5 linked regions of the Oryzias latipes genome follow. The protein of the gene in region 2 purifies or fractionates together with the protein of the main gene of each other region. This does not show direct contact. Links are inferred from orthologs where the notes say so. Each region holds a gene or a part of one and is shown on either strand. Other genes may lie near its edges. The genes, in order: pds5b, smc1a, usp13, cdca5 and sf3b3.

Region 1 (3,650 bases), on a different chromosome or scaffold from region 2:
TCTTCCCAGGATGAGTGCTACCAGGTCCGACAGTGTTTTGCCCAGAAGCTTCACCGTGGTCTGTGTCGCCTCCGCCTGCCGCTGGAGTACATGGCCGTGTTCGCTTTGTGTGCCAAGGACCCCGTTAAGGAGAGAAGGGCTCACGCCCGCCAGTGCCTGGTGAAAAACGTCAACATACGGCGAGAGTACCTCAAGCAGCACGCCGCCATCAGCGGTGAGGAACTGCAGGAAACCCGGCGAAGCTTTCCCCGGAACAACACTGGACCTTTAAGAGTGAAATTTGTTTTCCTTTCTTTGTGTTTACCAACAGACAAGCTGCTGTCTCTGCTGCCGGAGTACGTGGTGCCGTACACCGTACACCTACTGGCACACGATCCAGACTACGTGAAAGTTCAGGACATCGAGCAGCTGAAGGAAATCAAAGAGTATGTTTCTATGGGTGGATTTTAGAAACAGAAATAAGTTTGATCATGTCACACGGCAATCAGTGCTGGATTCATCATATTATTGCCATTAATTACCATGCAATTAACTGCCAGAACTCCACTGATTCATAAATATGTTACTGAGACTGTTATAGACTGAATCACGTGTCAAACTAAAGGCCCGCGGGCCAAATGTGGCGAGAGACATAAACGTTTTTAATTTCTTAGAAGAAAAAAATAAAAATTGGTGTGTATTTATTCATATCTTCGGGGAATCAGACTTGAAATATCGGATTGGTCTACTATACGTTAGGACTTAAGGACTTATGATAGAGTAACAAGCAAACATGTGTTTTCTATGCAACTGCAATTGTCACTTTAAAAAGTTATAGTAAATAAATAATGAGTTATTTAACATTCAGGAGTAGTTACATTTATTTTCAATAACATTTAGTTACATGAATAATTTATTGCTGGCCCTTTGAGGACAGCCACTATGCTGATGTGGCCCTCAGTGAAAATGGGTTTGACACCCCTGGACTAAATGTAATCTATAAAAAGAGCTGAATGTTTCTTAAGAATTTGTGGAAGTCCTAGGCAAATATTACAACTTTAAAATAAATGTCATCGTATTAATTTTTATAATTTTCCTGTTTGGACATTCTATGTGAAATACTGAAATTGGCGGCAGACACGAGTTGACCCTTTAAACGCCAGAACTGTTGCCGGTGACACCTAAATATCACACGCTCTTTGACGAGCTGTAACTCTTCAAGCGTTTAGGCGATCAACGTAAATCAGCTTATTCTGATGAAGAGAAGAGCAGCTTTTCATATCGACTTTGCATCGATATGCAGAGCTACTTCTCTCCACAACAGTCAGCTGATGTGTTCATTGTTTAAGCGCTTCGCTTCTGTAATACGTTGAATATCAGCGCATTCAACACTTCATACCATTTCTCTGCTTGGGTGAAGACTAGAAAATCCGGTTTATTAAGCTGCTGTTTTTTTTTATTAGTTTCTATTATCATTTTTGGAATGTTTTTTTTTTTACAGGGATTGAATTTTTATGAATATTTGTTTTCCTTTTTGGTTTGTGTTTAGGAGGTTGAGCCAGAGCAAAGTATTTTTAGATTTCTCTGTCTCCGCTTTTTGCGCTGACTCGACTCTGGTGTGTCTCCTCAGAGCTTTATGGTTTGTGCTGGAGATCATCATGGCCAAGAACGAGAACAACAGCCACGCTTTCATCAGAAAAATGGTGGAAAATATGAAACAGACAAAAGACGCCCAGGCTGCCACTGATCCCAAAAGCAATGAGGTACGTGATATTTATGTGAATCCAACTTCACTGAATATGTATTGATCCCGTATATAATTCTTTGCTGATCAGATGTTTTCTTATTTCCAGAAACTGTACACGGTGTGTGACGTAGCCATGAACATCATCATGTCAAAAAGCACCACCTACAGCCTGGAGTCGCCTAAAGACCCGGTGCTGCCTTCACGCTTCTTCACCAAACCAGACAAGGTTAGGATCTACGACCCAAGAGTTTTGCAGCAAACTCTGCTCAGAAATGTAGTTTTATGGGTAGAGTAAGTTCAGAGGTTTTGAACTCATCTCTATTGTAGTTGATACGAGTGAACTGCTTTTTATGGATTCAGTTCATTTGTAAAAAAAAATAAGACAATATAACAACTTTTTTGGAAAGCTCCAACAACAAATTCTGTTTTCCCCCCAGAATTTCAGCAACACTAAAAACTACCTTCCCCCAGAGATGAAGGCGTTCTTCACACCAGGAAAAGTAAATGTCATAAACCCCTAAAAATGTCGGCGGTTTATCACCCGTGAAGCTAAAAACCTTTTCAAATTGCTGTCTGTTTGTCGCTTTAGCCCAAGTCTGCTAACGTTTTGGGGGCGGTAAACAAACCGCTGTCATCGGCGGGTAAACAGCTGCAGAGTAAAGGCTCCCGTATGGAGACCACCAGCAACAACGACTCCTCGTCCAATCCGGGCTCCCCACAGCGCACCAAGAGCAGGTATGATGGGAGAAACCCTCCGACTGTAAATGACAACTGGACTGACCGAGTGAGTGAGTCTGACACGACCCATAGAAAATGGTTTTTCGACGTTGTCACTAAAAAGTGATTGGTCAGAGTTTGAATCAACGTTTCTATGGCAACCACTCTTGCCAATCAGGAGTGAGCTGGTTTTAAGGGGGCGGTCAATCAATTGTTTTGAGCGTTTGACATGAGACCACATACTTTTATTGAGGCACCTGATTGGTCAGTTTATCTTAGGGATACTGAAAATGACAGACGACACGGAAGCATGGACCGCGTCATCCGTTCATTTCTGATAATGGAAACCTCAAGGAGCATTATCCCGCTTAAACCATGGTCATCTACGAAAAAAGTGTGTATTCAATCAGAATTTAATACTTTAAGATGGTTATTTTTTTAGGTTTAAATAGTTTTTTCACAAAAAGCTAACTATCTGATAGGTGGTTCGACTGCAGCGGCAAAGGAAAACGATGATCCTCATGATGCGTTAAAAGCATCAGGTCAGAGAGAAAGGTCACCGCTTACGGCTTGTTTTTGTCCAGAAGATGAATTAAAAGTTAATCCCTTCTTTTAGAATCTTATCTCTCTTTTCTACTGCTGCATCGCAGTTTTGCAGCCAAACAGAATGGAGTATTCACCTGGACCGTGGTATAGAATGACTGAGTAATAGCTGTTTATTTCTCATTAGAAATCTTTGGGATTTTGGTTTCTTGGAGGAGCCAGCTGGTACTTCCCCTTTTTTTGGGGGGGGGGGGCTTTCAGTCCAGTTCTCATATACAGCCTCATCTGACGGAGCCCAGAGCTTGTAGCAGCCAACACTAATCCAGACTTTGTTTGAATTTGTAGTAAACAACAGTTTGATAAAAAGTTTGTGACAAATCCTCTATTAGCCTTAAAAGAGTTGCTGCTTTTCTCCATTGCTGGATGTAGAATAACAGCTGATAAATGCTTTTGTTTCAGGCACGACAGCACAGAAATGGACCACAGTGAAAATGAAGACATCTGCCTGAAGAGAGCAGACAGTGATAAGGTATTTCACTTCACATGTATTTACCTCAGGAATCGCCAACAAATTATCCCTTTTTTCATTTGAAAGTAGAGTTTGTGGCTTTTAATGATGTAGAGATGAGTTGTGGTGGATGTGCTTTCATATTTATGCTCCATA
Region 2 (4,407 bases):
TGTTCTCCTTGGCCTTGATGTACTGAGGCCGCTTCTGGTTCAGCTCAGAATCCTTCTCTCTGCGAGCGAAATGATATGATTAGCATTTCATTAAGAATTTAACCCCAGATAATTGATGTAGAAACACCAGGAGCTAACTGACTTGATTTCTTTCTCGATGGTCTGCTGCTCCCTCATCATTCTGCCCAGCTCCTTTTTCTTGTCTTTCAACTCTTCCTCCACATGGTCCATCTTCTTCCGGTCCTTGTCAATCTCCTTGTTCCGCTGGCCCAACTCTTTGTTGAGCTTTTCAATCTCAGTTTCATTGTGGTAGAGCTTGAAGAGCTGGAGCTGAACACTGGCCCTGGCAACTTCATCCTTAAGACGCTGGTAACGCTCAGCCTTAAAGAGAGATCAAAAGACACAAACTACATGATCACAACAAAACTTTCATGAGTTTTGTCCATCATCACTGCGTCCATCTTTTATAGGTCACTTTAGTTTAAAATGTCTTCTGTAAATAGAATCCACATATTAAAAATGATTACATGAAATAATATACGCTGTTTGGATTTATTTGGTTTACACCATATCTTATAATTAACAAACTATGCTGCCATAAAAGCAATTTAGCTTTTTTGTTTTAGTGAGTATTTCACAAATTAAAGTTCCAGATTGGAGTTCAACTTTCTCCATAGAACAGTAATAACAGGTACAAACCAAAGGCATGACATGTGTTATAATCTTACACAGTTTTCCGGGCAAACAAAATAAAAATGCTTTTCAATTCCTTTAAAAAAAAGGTTTTCAAGAAAAATGTGTACACATTATTTTATCGTCACAGAGACATACCTCCTCCTTCTCTTGCTTGGCTTCTTTGCGTTCTGCGGCGATGTTTTTTTTCCGATGATAATTGAACTGTGTGTCTTCTTCTGCCTTCACCATTTCTTTCTTCCTTCGATCATACTCCTGGGCCAGCTCTCCTGAGCGGGAGATTTCCTCAAACAGGGCTGTGCGCTCTTTGGGGTTCTTCATGGCAATAGACTCTACCGCTCCCTTTTAGTAAAAAGAAGAAATAAATTAAATGCCAAACCAATTTAATCCAAAATTGTTTTAAGAGAAGAAAAATAAAATTCACAGGATTCACATCAGTGGATGTGTTTAAAAAAAAAATACCGTAATGGAGCAGACAACCGTCAGTACAAACACTGTCTCATCAGTCAACAGTCATAGAAAGGGCATGCTATGCATTTGGTCTCACCTGGAAAACCAGGAAGTTCCGGGCCTTGATCAAAATGCCAAGTTTTTCCAGCTCTTCGCTATAATCTGGCAGACCCACAACTTTGCTGTTGATCCGATACTCAGAAGAAGAACCTGCAACAAAACCCCAAATGTAGTCACGTAAAAAAGAAATTCTAAATTCAAATAAATCTTTTTTTTTTTATTCCTTGTTGAATCATAATAAAATATTTCAAAGAAAGGCAATATGATTGTTTAGAATCAGATTTTTCCGTCAAAAACCAGTAGATGAACACATGCGAAGTTAAATAAAAAATAAAAACTTTTTCTGTGTCAAGTGACAAGTAAATGTATTTTTGCAAAAATTCTAATATCCCAGTTATGCTCAGCTAAAAGCAGACAGACAAAGACAAAAGGGCTGATATTACACAACAGCAAAACAGTATTGAACTTATTATTTGTGATTTACTTGCAAAGATAATGTTTTGCTTATTAAAATCCCCACACAAATGTGAATAGGTGAGCATTTGAAAGAATTAATGTGTTAATAATACTATTCTTTTCTTCTTCTTTTTTTTTTTTTTACCTATGATAACTCTCGTGAAGGTGCGTTCCTCGCCATTATCTTCTTGGTAAACCATGCTGACAAAGGCTCTGTTTGCAGCTGGTTTTCCTACAGGCGCTCCATGGATTAGATCCTTCAGAGTCTTCACACGCAGATTACTGGTTTTTTCTGCCAACACAAAGCTGATGGCATCCATAAGGTTGGATTTTCCTTTGGGAAAAGCATACAGACAATCTAGTTAGAGAAGTTGTAATAAAATGTAGTTTTACAGAAATACACAACTTTTAGAAATACAGATAATCAATTTTCTCTTGTGTTTTCACATAAACTAGGGTATCAAAAGACGTGTACTTTGAGTAAAATATAAAGAGAAACAGATACGCAACAGTATTTTTGATGGTATGACATTAATTTGTAATGTATGTTGTAATTTAGTAATTCATTTACTCTCGTGGTTAAAAAATATCAATTCAAAAAAATCAAAATATTGCAAATAAGAAAACTCTACAGAATCAGTTGTGGGAAATTGGTAATTATTTTATAATAACCCAAATCTTGTGGGCTTTAAGATAGGACCAATAAGTGCAAATGAAAGTGTAGGAATGGTCTGAACATGCACTCTCTTCGCAAAAGCTGCTTGGTAACACAAAATAAAATTTAGGGTTAGATCACCGTCATAATAACAGCAATATATATTTTTTCTCCGTTAGCAGCAGCGACTTGAACTGTTGGGCATAACTTACCCGATCCATTGGGTCCGATTATGGCAGTAAATTTATGAAACGGTCCAATAATCTGCCTTCCTTTATATGATTTAAAATTTTCGATCTCAATGAGTTTTAAATAACCCATTTTTCTTTATTTGTGCAGCAGACTGGGAAAACAGCTGCACGGTCAATGTTAGCTTAGCGAAGAAAAAATGCTAGTAAGCTAATGCTACAGACTCATGCGTTCGCAAATGAAAAAGTAGTTGCTTTAGGTCGATGGCTAGCAGTAGAAATTTACATTATGAGAAGTACGTTTACGTAAACAAAATCATATAGATAAAATCTTTATCAAATAAACTCGGTGCATTAGTGAAAACAAAGCGCCATTTTACAATCTCGCAGGAAGATACTAAATCGCGCGAAATGCCTAATCTCGTGCGTTCTCGCGACGCATCGACATAACTGGGATTTGTAGTCATATACATATACGCCTTGTACCTTGTAAATTTTAACATTTTTTTTCACAATTAAATACATAAATTTTGGTTAAGAAATGATTTTAAATATTTTTCGTTTTCACGATTTTTAACATCAGCAGTAATTATTTTTTGTCCATTTCTCTTGGAGAAAAAAAACTACAAGACGTTTCCTTGGTTACCAATGCTCCCCCTCCAAACACTGCTTGTTGGATTTGAACACTGAGATTAGCTGTTGTTGCGCGGCCTATTTATGAGGTGAGTATTGTCTTGTTTTTAGTTTTTTTTCGTTTTTCCCAGAGCAATATAACACTGAAAATTACTACTGTTAATATTTTCAAATAGTTTATGAGGTATTGTTTTGTATTTTTTCTTTTCCCAAGAGCAACCTTACTCTGAAAACAACTACTGTTAGTATTTAGATAGTTTTCTTTCATCATTTTATGTATATCTAACAAACTACTCTCTCGGAATTATAAACAGCATGACCTTTCATCATTTAATTAAATAGTGGAAAGCACCATTCTGTTTTTTCTTTCATAAACCAATATATGTAATTCCTTCTCACCAGGATTTGAGACAGTTTAGAAACCAAACATGTTCAAAGGTGACGCCCGACAAGACCAGTCTCTGACAAAAGCTGTGGAAGGCCGAAGATCTGCTGAGGCAGCCCGCAAAGCTCGCATCTTCAACACTCGACTACGTGTGATGGGCCTTGACTTAGATGCTCTGAACCAACAAGTTAAAGAGAAACTGCAACAAGAAAACTTGGAAAAACTACAGAGCAATGCTCTCGGTAAAGAAACGTGATTACACTATTAAGAAATTAGGAACTTTATCTAGTAAAGCAATAATCTTTTTGTTCTATGTCGTAATACCATCTAATTTCAACTCTTGATAAACAAATGCAATTAATGTACTTTGTTACAATTCGTCTAAAAATCAATGAATATGCAATAGGATGGACCTGCTATGACCATGTGATTTACTTGCTTGTATTTCAAATGATGGGAAGACAGCTTCTGTCTCTAAAATAGCGGATGTCAGCAGAATGATCTCTTTTCCTTTCTACAAATGTTTTTTTTTTTTTTTTTTTTTTTTTTTTTGCATTGTAGAAACACTGAAAAAAAGTCAGGATGAAGCACTACTACAACAAGACAACAATGAAAAAGAAAAACGACGAGCTTTGCAAAAGGACCTTACTCATTACTGGGCCACTCAGCAGCGATTAGACACACAAAATGCTGGTTTACAGAATGGCCTGAAGGGGGCGTTTGACATCACCACTCCGGAGGCCAAACTGGGACCTGCCAGTATGCAGAGATTCCAGGTAGGTTTACTGAGTGAGGTGGAATGGTTGTTTGCTTAGAAACCAGAGACAGTAAAGGGATGTGAATGTTTAAGTAGGTCACAATGTTCCTCGTAAATCATTGTGTTCAAC
Region 3 (3,650 bases), on a different chromosome or scaffold from region 2:
ATGGGAGGACAAACCCCTGCATGGGATGTACCACCGGACCATAACTGAAGTGGCTGATATCAAGAAGTCCTACCAATGGCTAGAGAGGGCTGGCCTACAGGACAGCACTGAGGCACTCATCCTGGCAGCTCAGGAACAAGCCCTGAGAACCAGAGCAATAGAGGCTCAGATCTACCATACCAGACAAGACCCAAGGTGTAGGCTGTGCAAAGAGGCGCCTGAAACAATCCAGCACATAACTGCAGGGTGTAAGATGCTGGCAGGTAAAGCATACATGGAGCGCCACAATCAAGTGGCTGGAATAATATACAGGAACATGTGTGCAGAATATGGACTGGAAACCCCAAGGTCAAAATGGGAAACACCCCCGAAGGTGGTAGAGAATGAAAGGGCAAAAATCTTGTGGGACTTCCAGATCCAGACTGATAGGATGGTAATGGCGAACCAACCAGACATTGTAGTGGTGGATAAAGAACAGAGGAAAGCCGTTGTGGTGGATGTGGCAGTACCAAGCGATGGGAACATCAGGAAGAAGGAACATGAGAAACTGGAGAAATACCAGGGACTCACAGAAGAACTGGAGAAAGCCTGGAAAATGAAGGTGACAGTGGTGCCTGTGGTAATTGGAGCACTCGGGGCAGTAACCCCCAAGCTGGAGGAGTGGCTACAACAGATACCTGGAAAGATCTCAGACATCTCAATCCAGAAAAGCGCAGTGCTAGGAACAGCTAAGATACTGCGCAGAACCCTCAAGTTCCCAGGCCTCTGGTAGAGGACCCGAGCTTGAGTGAGAAACCACCCACGAAAGGGTGAAAGGGGCAAGTTTTTTTTTTTTTTTATATAACTACAGTCTAGTAGTGACCTCTGCTGGGTGTTTTCAGTACTACACACACTTCAAAGAGCCTTCAAAGAACCACACAAAATGTATATATATATATATATATATATATATATATATATATATATATATATATATATATATATATATATATATATATATATATATATATATATATTAGCTTTTAAGTGTTTAATAATTGCCTTTACTCACAAAACACAAAGCCAAAGCTGTATCCATTCATGTATTTCTGAGCATTCCTCTAGCCCCTTCCAGAAAGAGTCTGTGCTGCCAGTGCCAGTGTGCCAACACACACGACCACTTTCTCTGTGGAGCTAGCGGTGATCGGCTAAACGCTATCATTTTCTGTGCACATTATGCACATCCATCTCTGCAAAAGTTCAAATGTTTGTTTTTCGTGGGCGAAAAGGCCGTCTCCAGGTTGCCTCCCTGAAATTAGCAGCACCCACAAGGAGCGAAAGGCGGTGCCTCAGAGATCGAGTCATCTCACTTCCAAGTAGGAGAAATGAGCTGCAAAAATAACTCATATTTCAGAAAAAAAAATCTTTCTTTCGTGGGCCAAAGGTAATATATGATCATAAATATGGATCTAGTTTCCTCTGTAAGGCTTAAGAAAAGCATGATATAGGCCCTTTAAGAGAATTGGTGGATAGTGAAATGCAGACATCATCACTCCAATCATCTTTGCATGAAAACATTAGTTACCGAGCTTCTTCGGCACCCAGTCAACTCCAAATGTGAATTTCTTGATCTGCACAATCAGATATTCCGGAAAAGAGGCAAAACGGGACGTTCTACAAAAACAGAAAAAAAAAAGAGTTTTTACCTCAACAAAGACATGATTATTAAAAAGAAAAAGAAAAAAAAAAAGCATATGCTTACTTGACTCCAGCTGATTTGGCCTGCAGCGCTGAGCTCCAAAAGTCCGGGACATTTTCTGGTTCTGTGAAGGCCTGTAAGCAGGCGGTGAAAGGAATCCGTGCCCGAACTGGTTCAGGAGGAGTCCCCATGTTCTCCTCAGCTTCTTTCCGCTTGGCCTCGTAGGCCAGCAGCTCCTCTGGTTTAAAAAAGGAAACGGTTAAATTTGAAACCTCCTCAAAAACTGGCATGTTGATAATTATTTATTTTTTTAAATCAGCTGAGGCTTTATACTACAGCAGCGCAAAGTGATTATGCTCGCTTCTTCAGCTTTATTTGTTGTCAACCCAAGAAAATAATGAGCAAGGCTGACAGCTCTGGTTCACACCACAATTAATTATCAACACATGACTAAACCATCTGCAACACTTGCATTCAGAGCGATTCTACCAATACTGCAGCAGGTGCCATTCATTCTCATAGCAATTGTTTTATCCACAGCAGGCGTGTTATCAGAGCAGATGCACTGCTGTGGAGATATGTTTCCTCCTTCACCTCGATTGGTCGCTGCCTCGATGGGAGCCGGCAGCTGGATGCAGTAGTCGACTCGCTGGCTGTAACGAACGCGGCGAGTCTGACAGCACTGAATCCGCTCCTCCACCAGGAAACGGAAGCTGTCGCTGGGATTCTCCAAGCCTGTGCTATTCCTCTGCAGAAACAACACAGAATGCAGGCTCTTCATCCAGTATGGTGAGGAGTAAAATACTTACAGTCCAATGAAAGCCCTGTTTTGTGGCATTTTGTAATGATAGAGGACACAGAAAATTAATAAATTTTTTACACGTGTTTTTCTATTTGTGATTCTGGTTGGGGTTACTTTTTTTGCATTATTTCAAAATAGAATACATTTTTCAGATAAGCTCTTTTATCAAATTTCACACAACAAAATGAGGTTGACTTTCTGTGGATCCATGCATGAGCCTCCCTCCCTCCTCTCCCTCCCTCACCTCCACCAGGTTGATGATGTGCAGGAGGAACTCGTGGGCGTCTTGTTGCCGGTTGGAGGAAAACTCCGGGTGTCCTTTGCTCACCAGAGCTTTGAACATTCGAGGAGAGATGCCCCTCTGCTGCTGCTGGAATCAGAATTTAGACATCAGCCTCACAAGAAAACCACCAGTCAACGCTAGACACTGTGAACACAAACTGTTCTTCGAGTTTCTAAAAAAAAAACCTAATCCAAATAAAAATTATTAACATATTTCTGGCTCTAATTACACAGTGTGTCTTGTGTAAACACAGAGGCTGTAAATAGAAAAAAAATATCTATTTTTATTAAACTAAGTTACTCGATTTGTATTTACTAAAAAATATATTTATAAAAATAATACTTTTCTCATTTTGGTTGACCCCAATAGAAGTCATGGTTAAAAAATAAATAAAAATAAAAAATATATATTTATTTGCACTTTTATACATTTTAAAAGACTCTTCATTCATTCATAAATCTTTTAAAGCAATAGTTCCTTTTCGGGGTCACAATGCTGCTGGAGCCTATCCCGGCCACTTGTGGGCGAAGGCTGGGGAGATCCTATGCAGGCCCCCAGACCGTGGCAGGCCCAAGAGCTTGTTTTTGGCCATTATGGGGATTGAACCCAGAACTTTGGCGTTCTTAAGCACCACGCTGTAAACCAGCTGAGCTTACTGGCCTCTAAAAGATCTTAAAAGACTTTAAGATCTTAAATGTAGTTTTTTGAAACCCTTTTTTAGAAAAACTTTGCATTTCCCACTGCACTGATCCCTGTTTTGTGCAGAACATCTTTACATAATAACTGAAATCTACCAGCTGTTTGTTTATAGACAAATAAAAAAACTGTTTGTGTCCTCCCAGAAATGTACATAAAGTACTAAATACACAGAGGTCTCACTAAGTGAC
Region 4 (3,566 bases), on a different chromosome or scaffold from region 2:
CAGTTCAGTCCACATGAGCAGGAAAGGGTCACTTAGGCAGGATTACACAAATTATGTTTTAGATTAGATGTGAATAGATGAATTCCTCACAAGCTGCAACAGAAGACACAAACACTTGCAATCTTGACACACTTTTAACCACCACCAATCAATGTAGTTTTCCTATTTTATATATATATATATATATATATATATATATATATATATATATATATATATATATAGTAGCTATATGTGTTTTTCTGACAAAATTGTATCCTGTTGTTCTGTTAGATCTCATAATAAAACCCCTACATGTTTCTTTTTGTTAATTTTTACAATCATTTTTGGAATTACATGCTTTCAAATTGATTTTTTTTTTTTTTTAATTTTAGTAAGAACACATCTTTTTGTGAGTGTTAGAGATGCTATTGGGTAAGACATCCGTCCATGGGGCCCTAATACGTTTCCCTAACAAAGTTAATTCAAGCAACACCCCTGAAAACGAGTACAAAATTCAAAATGTTTCTCTAGTGTTCAGTTTCAGGAAATGTTTATCTTTAAATGCTAAAAGTGTATTTTGCTCTCATGCATGGTTACCCTGCTCCGTAGGTAGTCTGCCAAGTTCTTCCGTGTGAAGTTTGCTGCTGCAGATGGACTCAGTTCGTAACCTTTAGGGGAGAAAAAGTTTCATCAATGACTTGTTCTGATCCCCTGATGAACCACAGACAGCTGCTCTGTGTAGTTTCCATCCTACCGTTCCTCATTTTGTAGAGCTGGACATTCTTCTGGATGTACTCAGCAAACTGCACCGTGTCTCCTGCTTCTCCCACGCACAACAGCAGGATCTTCTCGCTCAGTTTGAACATTTTATCATAATCTGGTGGATCAAAAAAAAAAACACCTTAGAACTTTCACTTTCACAGTTAGCCTGCATGAGGCTGCATAATCTGCTAATTTTAGAACAAAACCAATTATACAGAAAAACACCAAAAACTCAAATCGGGAGCAAAACTGCACCGATTTTTAAGCAAATATCCGCAAAAATAATTTAAATCGAACGCAGATTAGTTTCATTGGTTCGATTATTTGATATAGTGTGGCCAAGTATAAGAAACCAACAACAAATTAACTGTAAATTCGGAAATAAAAGCTTGATTTAACCAGATAAAATCTCAAAACGCTTTGAACTTTACCCCCCTAAATCTAAAATAAAAATCGGCGGAGCGGCTAATGCTACAGCTAACGACGAGCTACTTTACCGTGTTTCATTTGGATTATGCTGCTGGCGGCCACATTATCGGCGGCGACGAGAACAAAATCTGGTCCCTGGATTCCGATTAAATATTCCATCGTGAAAAACGCGAATAAACAAAAAAATGTAAGAATAATTCGAGGAAGCAGCCGCGGACAGCCGGGTCTGCTCAGAATATTACACAGCAAAAGTTCAGCTAGCTGCCTGTCGCATACTGGTGACGTCAAACCGCGCGACTTGGGCGGGCGATTTGAAACGCGGGAGTGTTTTTGTTGTGTGTCACCGAGCGGAGGGCGTCCGTCATCGGGGGAATTTTGAGGTTACAGCCAAGCTGTGTTGACCATGAAGGAAGGGGAGACTCACAGCGTGATGGTGGAGTCCAACCGACACATAGACCCGCCGCGGAGGCGTTCGCCGCGGCTAAGTTCTACCCTGCAACCGCCGGGGAAGATTGACACAAACATGGCCGCGCTGGAGGCCGTCCCGGTGAAACGGTCCATCACTCTAAGGAAAATAGCTCCGAGAAAAACCGTTACCTCCGCGGAGCAGGACAAGGAGAACACACCACGGCGAACGAGCAACAGACTAGGGCAGAAAAAAGAGGTGTCCACTCCTGACTTGGTCCCAGACCGCAGGGCCTCCGCCATCTCTTCGGCTAAGAAGAAGAAACAGGCCTCGATGCCGTCCCCGATCTTGCCTTCCTCCCCGCCGACCTCAAACCCCGCAGAAAAGCCGCCAGCGACCCCGGAGGACGCAGAATGGGCGCGAAAGGTGCGCCGCTCCTACAGCAGACTGAGCGACAAGTCCCTCCACAGCCCGGACTCTCGCGATACTTTGTTCGGCTTCCAGCATCTGCAGACACCGGAGGTGAACCGGGCGGCAGGGCAGTCCAGGAGCGCTCTGGAGCTTTCCTCCATTTCTGCCCTGAACTCTTTCACGTCTCTGCTCGATACCGACGCCGGCGGTGCGGCCGAACCGGACCCGAACATCCCTGGAGTGGCTGTGGTGAAGGAGAGGAAGAGGAGGCGGAAGAAGGTGGCGCCGATCGACGGCGTGGAGCTGGACGTTCTGGTCGCCCAGATGAACGCGGAGTTCCAGGAGGCGGAGGAGTTTGAGCTGGTGGTGGAGTAGAAACTGGCTCTACTCAAGCCCAGGGGAAGCTTCTCAAGGACTGTGATAAAAATAATTCAAGAAAATGTTAAAAATGTCCAGATATTTTTATTCCTTCACTTGGTGTGAAATAGTTTTTAAATACATTTTCAGTATCACATTTGCTAGTCGTTTGTAACTTCAGTTTTTTTGGTTTATTTAAACCGGACTTTATCCTTTGGCAGAATTTAAGTGCTAAAACCGTTTACTGAGGAGCATTTCCCCAAGAATTACGTTTGGAGCTAAAAGGCTTTTATTCTGAAATGAAGCTTGAAAGCTTTTATGCAAAAGTCTGGAGATAAAAAGCTTTGAGTCGTAAAATTGGTGCTGAACAGCTCTTACTTTGAAGTTTGAAGATAAAAAGCTTTTATTCTGACGATTGGACTTTAGAAACATTTATCCTAAAGGTTTTGACTGGAGACGCTTTTATTCTGCAGTTTGGATTCTCTTTTTTTTTTAACTTTCCCAAATGTTTTTAGAGAAAAATAAAGTACATGGCATCTGTAACCAGCACTTTTTCCTCTTTAATTTTGTTTTTTCTTTCTAGTTTAAGAGAAATCCATTTAAGGTTGTTTATATCTTATATGTGTCTTTTAAATACATTTCTTCTGTTCTGTGTATTTGAATAAAAGCAAACATCTTTTTTTAAACATACACTTTATTTTGTTTACCCTTATTTGTACAGTTAAAGAGTTTTAAATTATATTAAACAACAATTTTTTAGAACTTTGCAGTGAAATATCAACTAGCTGCAGAAGGAGATGACACAGGAAATATGAACAAATAAACTATAACATAGCTAAAGAATTCAACTGAAAAGCCTTGAATGGCCTTTCATCAGATCCTGTCTCAAACTGTTTTTGTGAAGCTCTGAAATTGATCAGTACTGTAAATATCCTACTCTATGTTTAATTTAACCTTATGGCAATCAGAGCGAGCATGAAAACCCGTTTTCTAACTGTACATATGACAAAAAAAAAACTTTGAATCCTTTCAATTAAAAAAACTGAGGGTGAAAGGTCAAAAGCAACTGTAACCCTATAACCAATCAAAATCGTTTTTTTGCATAATATCCAACTAAATTATACAGTTTTGCTTATAGCAGCAAAAGTCTAGAATCAGGACTTTTATTTCAAGCGAAAAAATAAAACCAAATGCATCAAATGAATTTAGATGTACAGTC
Region 5 (3,650 bases), on a different chromosome or scaffold from region 2:
GAGTGACATCCCACAGTTTGTTCCACAGATGTAAAAGGAAAGTGAAGTGACTCGAAGTGACAAGTTTTACAAAAGCATTGATGACAATGAAGCCAGCCGAGACGCTCCTTTTAGAAAATGGGAAGACATACCCTTTTGTTAAGAAACAACGGTATTACCGTCAGTACCATTAAAAATAGAACTAAACCAATACTATAAGACAATCACACAGATCTGATACCTTTAAATAGAAACCGTAAAACTGCAGCTGCTAACAAAGCCTGAAATCATTCCAAATCAAACCTAAATCAACCTGTGCTGCTCTGAGTATTTATGCTCAGATGGACATATTTAAAGAAAGACAAGCTTAGTTTTTTATTTGAGTGTTTTGTTATTCAAATTGTTGTGAATCAGGAACAGTTAAAAGAAAATGCAGTTTGAAAAAGAGCTGATTTATGTTGTAAAAAATATACAAGGCAGGCAACAAGCTCCCTGCTTCATGCTCTCAGCAGCAGGGAGGGGAAAGGGGGCGGGGTTGCTCCGCGCCAATAACCCTTGCCCACAACTCAGTTGCTAGTTTCTAATGAACTCCTGCTGTTCTGCAGAAACTATGTCCCAGAAAAAAACAGGTATTTTTGCCTTAAAACGACATCATCATAATTAAAAGAGCACTGGGAATGCTTTGAAAATATAAAGATGACTGGAGTGGGTCTACAAAGGGGTCTCAGTGATAAACTCTTCAATCAAATGACTCAAGACCTGCTCTTACCTTGTTCTCACATTTACGAAGAAGTTTCTTCTTCCCCAGGTCATAAATTCTAAGAAGTTTTCCAACTCCGATTAGAACCCGTCCTTGGAACGGAGCGATGGCCAGAGGAACGTCCTCTACTGGAGTCTGTTATGAACAATGCAGAGAAGATACAGTTCTTCAGCTGTGGTACAACAAACAGAAAATGGCATTCAGGGTGAAGACAACCCAGGAAACTGTCTAGTTTTATATAACTAGACGGTTGAAAATTGAGTAATTTTTTGTGAAGCAGCAGCTGTTAACACAACTGACCCATGGCGAGACACAAATCAGCAAACGATACACAATTTAGATTTCAGACTAGGGCTTCACGATTTAAGGAAAACTCTGGATTTGAGACACTAGTGTTCAGTATTGCAATGACATAACTTGAGATACATGAACAAATTGAAAATCATTTTCATTTCACAGCAAGTTTAATTTAAATAAAAGTCAACATAACTTTAATTATATCTTACATCAAAGAGCTCCACCTGATTGGTCAACAACGTGAAGGCATCTGATTGGTCAAATGCATGAAGGGATTTATTTGATTCGTTAAATACTTCAAGCTGCCATAAGATTGTTTTAGCAAATTTAAGGTTACCGTTTATTGCAATTTCTGTCGTCTTTAGTAAAATGCGCATTGCACAGCTTGATATTGCGATAACGATGAATTTGTGATTTATTGAGAAGGCCTGTTTCAGACCATCACAACATGGTTGTAAAGTTTGATCTGGCATGTTTGAAAATTTCAAAAGAGGCAGAAAATGTGTGTCCTTATCAAACACATTATGATGCGAATCATCGTCCTGTGTTCAACTAAAATTTGCAGGAAAAAGCTTGAATTTTGTCGCTTTTCAAAAAGAATTAGAATTTTGGCATTTGTGTTCAAGACAGAAGCTAAAAAAGGAAAGTGCTTCATTTATGAGATACATTTTACTTTCTATAAAAACTACCTCCTTTTCTTTTGAGGGTTACACAAATTCATTGAAAGAACGCTGATTTACTCATCTGCTGGGTTTGATTTGTGATTATGGACATTCCTGCAGTTTTGATTTATGTGATCAATTCTAAACAACTCCATGAGTGACCGTGCCAGTTACAGTTATTGATTACAAATAGCTCATCTTAAAAAAAAGAAACAAACTTGGAAATATCTCAAATTTCTCTTCAGAGCAACAAACTAAAAAAATAAATAAAACAAATTCAACACACAAAATAAATGGATCTAGGCTTTTTTATAAATACAATGAACATAGAGAAAGGAGCAGCTTTACAGATAGATGTTTGGTTGTCTTTGTGGGTCGTGTTAATCATGTAAAGCTAATCCCAAAGTTAATCAGGAAAGGACTGTATGTAGACAAGGCAGACAGGATGAAGAGTTTACCCACGATGACAGTTTTTCTTTAGCTGCCGTTGCGGTTCATGCATCACAAACATCACTCAGACTTGACTAAAACTGCTGCACAACATGTCATAAAAGCATACTGTCCATAAAAGTCTAAGATACTTAAAAAAACAAATATTTGAGACAAATTATGTCAACATTTTTTTAGATATCCCAAAATACAAAACGAGCGGATGAGGAAGACTTTTGTTTCATATTAAAAGTGTCTGAAGCTGAATGTGAGCGCGTGCTTAAGACGTTAGTGTTGTGCCCAGACAGAATCACCTAAAAACATCACGTGTGGTTAAGTGGTGGGGAAATCCCTCTGAGTCAGTGTGGAGTGTCCGAGACCGCTGGGAAACAGACTGCCTCTTCTTCTACATCAGGTAACAAACAGCTGAAAGCTGATTCACTTGGCTCGTCTCCACCCTGCTCCTGTTTCTTGGGAATCGCCCCAGAAACTGGGGCAGAAACATCCTGCCATGGTGTTGTTACAAAGCTGTCGAGTTTTAAAAGTGTGACGCCAACAGAGCGGTGAACATGGGATGCTCAGCTGTGGTCTCAACACACGGGGAAACTTTCAACTCAGCAGAGCAGAGAAACTCAACCTCACCTTGTGCACAAACTCCAGCTTCTCTCCTCCACCTGTGAGTCGGTAGGTGTAGATGAAACCTCCAGACACGGACCTGGGGTTGAGTATCATGTCTCTGGCAACTCCCACTAGAACATACCAGTCGTCTCCTGTGTTTAAGAAGCGGCACACTGCCACACTGAAACAAAGGGAAAGATACATGAGAGCATGTAGAGCTGTCACAGAGAATCAACATTTATATTTATTGTTGATAATATAAAGGAAATAAATACAAGCCGTTGGTCATGTGACCACATCCGTAGGAACAAAAAAATGTGCACCAAGGAGGCTTTTTTTTTTTACATATGTAAAAAAGTGAATTTTTTTAGTTTTTTAATCAATTTTTGTTTTGCAGTAAAAATGCTGCTTGTATTTTAAATAAATATATTTTAAATATAAGGAAACTAAACATCTGAGTCTATGGTTGTGTCTGAATTCGTTCACTACTCACTACATAGTGCACTATATAGTGCGTTCATTTTGTATTGCTGTCTGAATCTATAATTCCAAAATCTAGAAATCTAGAAATTTTCCAGAAGTCTCTGCAAAAAACCTGTGTACATCGATGCTCACTAAATCGGCAAATATAGTAAAGTAGTGAGAATGGTGTCTGAATTGCACTACATAGTCTCGCACTACATCGTTTTTAGTAGTTGGGGTGGGGATTAGGGCGGGAATTCTGACACAGCCCATGTCTTTCAGAAACGCAGAGAAGAAAAAGACAAAAGGAGTAAAGAGGAGCTGACTGCATCATGATTCCACAAAAGGTTAAGAAAAGCCATTTTTACATGTCTAATGTTTGTTGAAACAACCCCATAAACTGCTGAAATACAAAGCAGCAAAGTTTTTACAACTGAACTTCA

What was found.
Region 1: the proteins of smc1a (region 2) and pds5b purify together in Homo sapiens (affinity purification with western blotting; 8 studies listed by BioGRID and IntAct, with this or other methods). This does not show direct contact. The link is inferred for Oryzias latipes from reciprocal best matches to the Homo sapiens genes SMC1A and PDS5B.
Region 3: the proteins of smc1a (region 2) and usp13 purify together in Homo sapiens (affinity purification with mass spectrometry; 5 studies listed by BioGRID and IntAct, with this or other methods). This does not show direct contact. The link is inferred for Oryzias latipes from reciprocal best matches to the Homo sapiens genes SMC1A and USP13.
Region 4: the proteins of smc1a (region 2) and cdca5 purify together in Homo sapiens (affinity purification with mass spectrometry; 7 studies listed by BioGRID and IntAct, counting the BioPlex papers as one, with this or other methods). This does not show direct contact. The link is inferred for Oryzias latipes from reciprocal best matches to the Homo sapiens genes SMC1A and CDCA5.
Region 5: the proteins of smc1a (region 2) and sf3b3 fractionate together in Homo sapiens (co-fractionation; 3 studies listed by BioGRID, with this or other methods). This does not show direct contact. The link is inferred for Oryzias latipes from reciprocal best matches to the Homo sapiens genes SMC1A and SF3B3.

What each region holds. Positions count from the first base shown.
Region 1 is NC_019872.2:9,942,236-9,945,885, forward strand, and holds part of pds5b (sister chromatid cohesion protein PDS5 homolog B), read left to right. Parts: intron 1-9; coding exon 10-214; intron 215-310; coding exon 311-425; intron 426-1,609; coding exon 1,610-1,742; intron 1,743-1,832; coding exon 1,833-1,952; intron 1,953-2,163; coding exon 2,164-2,226; intron 2,227-2,315; coding exon 2,316-2,461; intron 2,462-3,445; coding exon 3,446-3,515; intron 3,516-3,650. UniProt on the Homo sapiens protein: Regulator of sister chromatid cohesion in mitosis which may stabilize cohesin complex association with chromatin. May couple sister chromatid cohesion during mitosis to DNA replication.
Region 2 is NC_019865.2:11,923,247-11,927,653, reverse strand, and holds the start of smc1a (structural maintenance of chromosomes protein 1A), read right to left. Parts: upstream 2,882-4,407; 5' UTR 2,636-2,881; coding exon 2,527-2,635; intron 1,994-2,526; coding exon 1,805-1,993; intron 1,354-1,804; coding exon 1,241-1,353; intron 1,036-1,240; coding exon 832-1,035; intron 382-831; coding exon 143-381; intron 60-142; coding exon 1-59. Other genes in the region: ribc1 (RIB43A-like with coiled-coils protein 1), read left to right, coding at 3,564-3,762, 4,082-4,296. UniProt on the Homo sapiens protein: Involved in chromosome cohesion during cell cycle and in DNA repair. Central component of cohesin complex. The cohesin complex is required for the cohesion of sister chromatids after DNA replication.
Region 3 is NC_019862.2:9,008,539-9,012,188, forward strand, and holds part of usp13 (ubiquitin carboxyl-terminal hydrolase 13), read right to left. Parts: intron 2,851-3,650; coding exon 2,725-2,850; intron 2,427-2,724; coding exon 2,273-2,426; intron 1,917-2,272; coding exon 1,742-1,916; intron 1,654-1,741; coding exon 1,565-1,653; intron 1-1,564. UniProt on the Homo sapiens protein: Deubiquitinase that mediates deubiquitination of target proteins such as BECN1, MITF, SKP2 and USP10 and is involved in various processes such as autophagy, endoplasmic reticulum-associated degradation (ERAD), cell cycle progression or DNA damage response.
Region 4 is NC_019869.2:20,009,421-20,012,986, forward strand, and holds cdca5 (sororin), read left to right. Parts: upstream 1-1,457; 5' UTR 1,458-1,576; coding exon 1,577-2,365; 3' UTR 2,366-3,037; downstream 3,038-3,566. Other genes in the region: psmb2 (proteasome subunit beta type-2), read right to left, coding at 580-650, 737-859, 1,242-1,332. UniProt on the Homo sapiens protein: Regulator of sister chromatid cohesion in mitosis stabilizing cohesin complex association with chromatin. May antagonize the action of WAPL which stimulates cohesin dissociation from chromatin.
Region 5 is NC_019864.2:25,117,689-25,121,338, reverse strand, and holds part of sf3b3 (splicing factor 3B subunit 3), read right to left. Parts: intron 2,927-3,650; coding exon 2,770-2,926; intron 875-2,769; coding exon 749-874; intron 1-748. UniProt on the Homo sapiens protein: Component of the 17S U2 SnRNP complex of the spliceosome, a large ribonucleoprotein complex that removes introns from transcribed pre-mRNAs.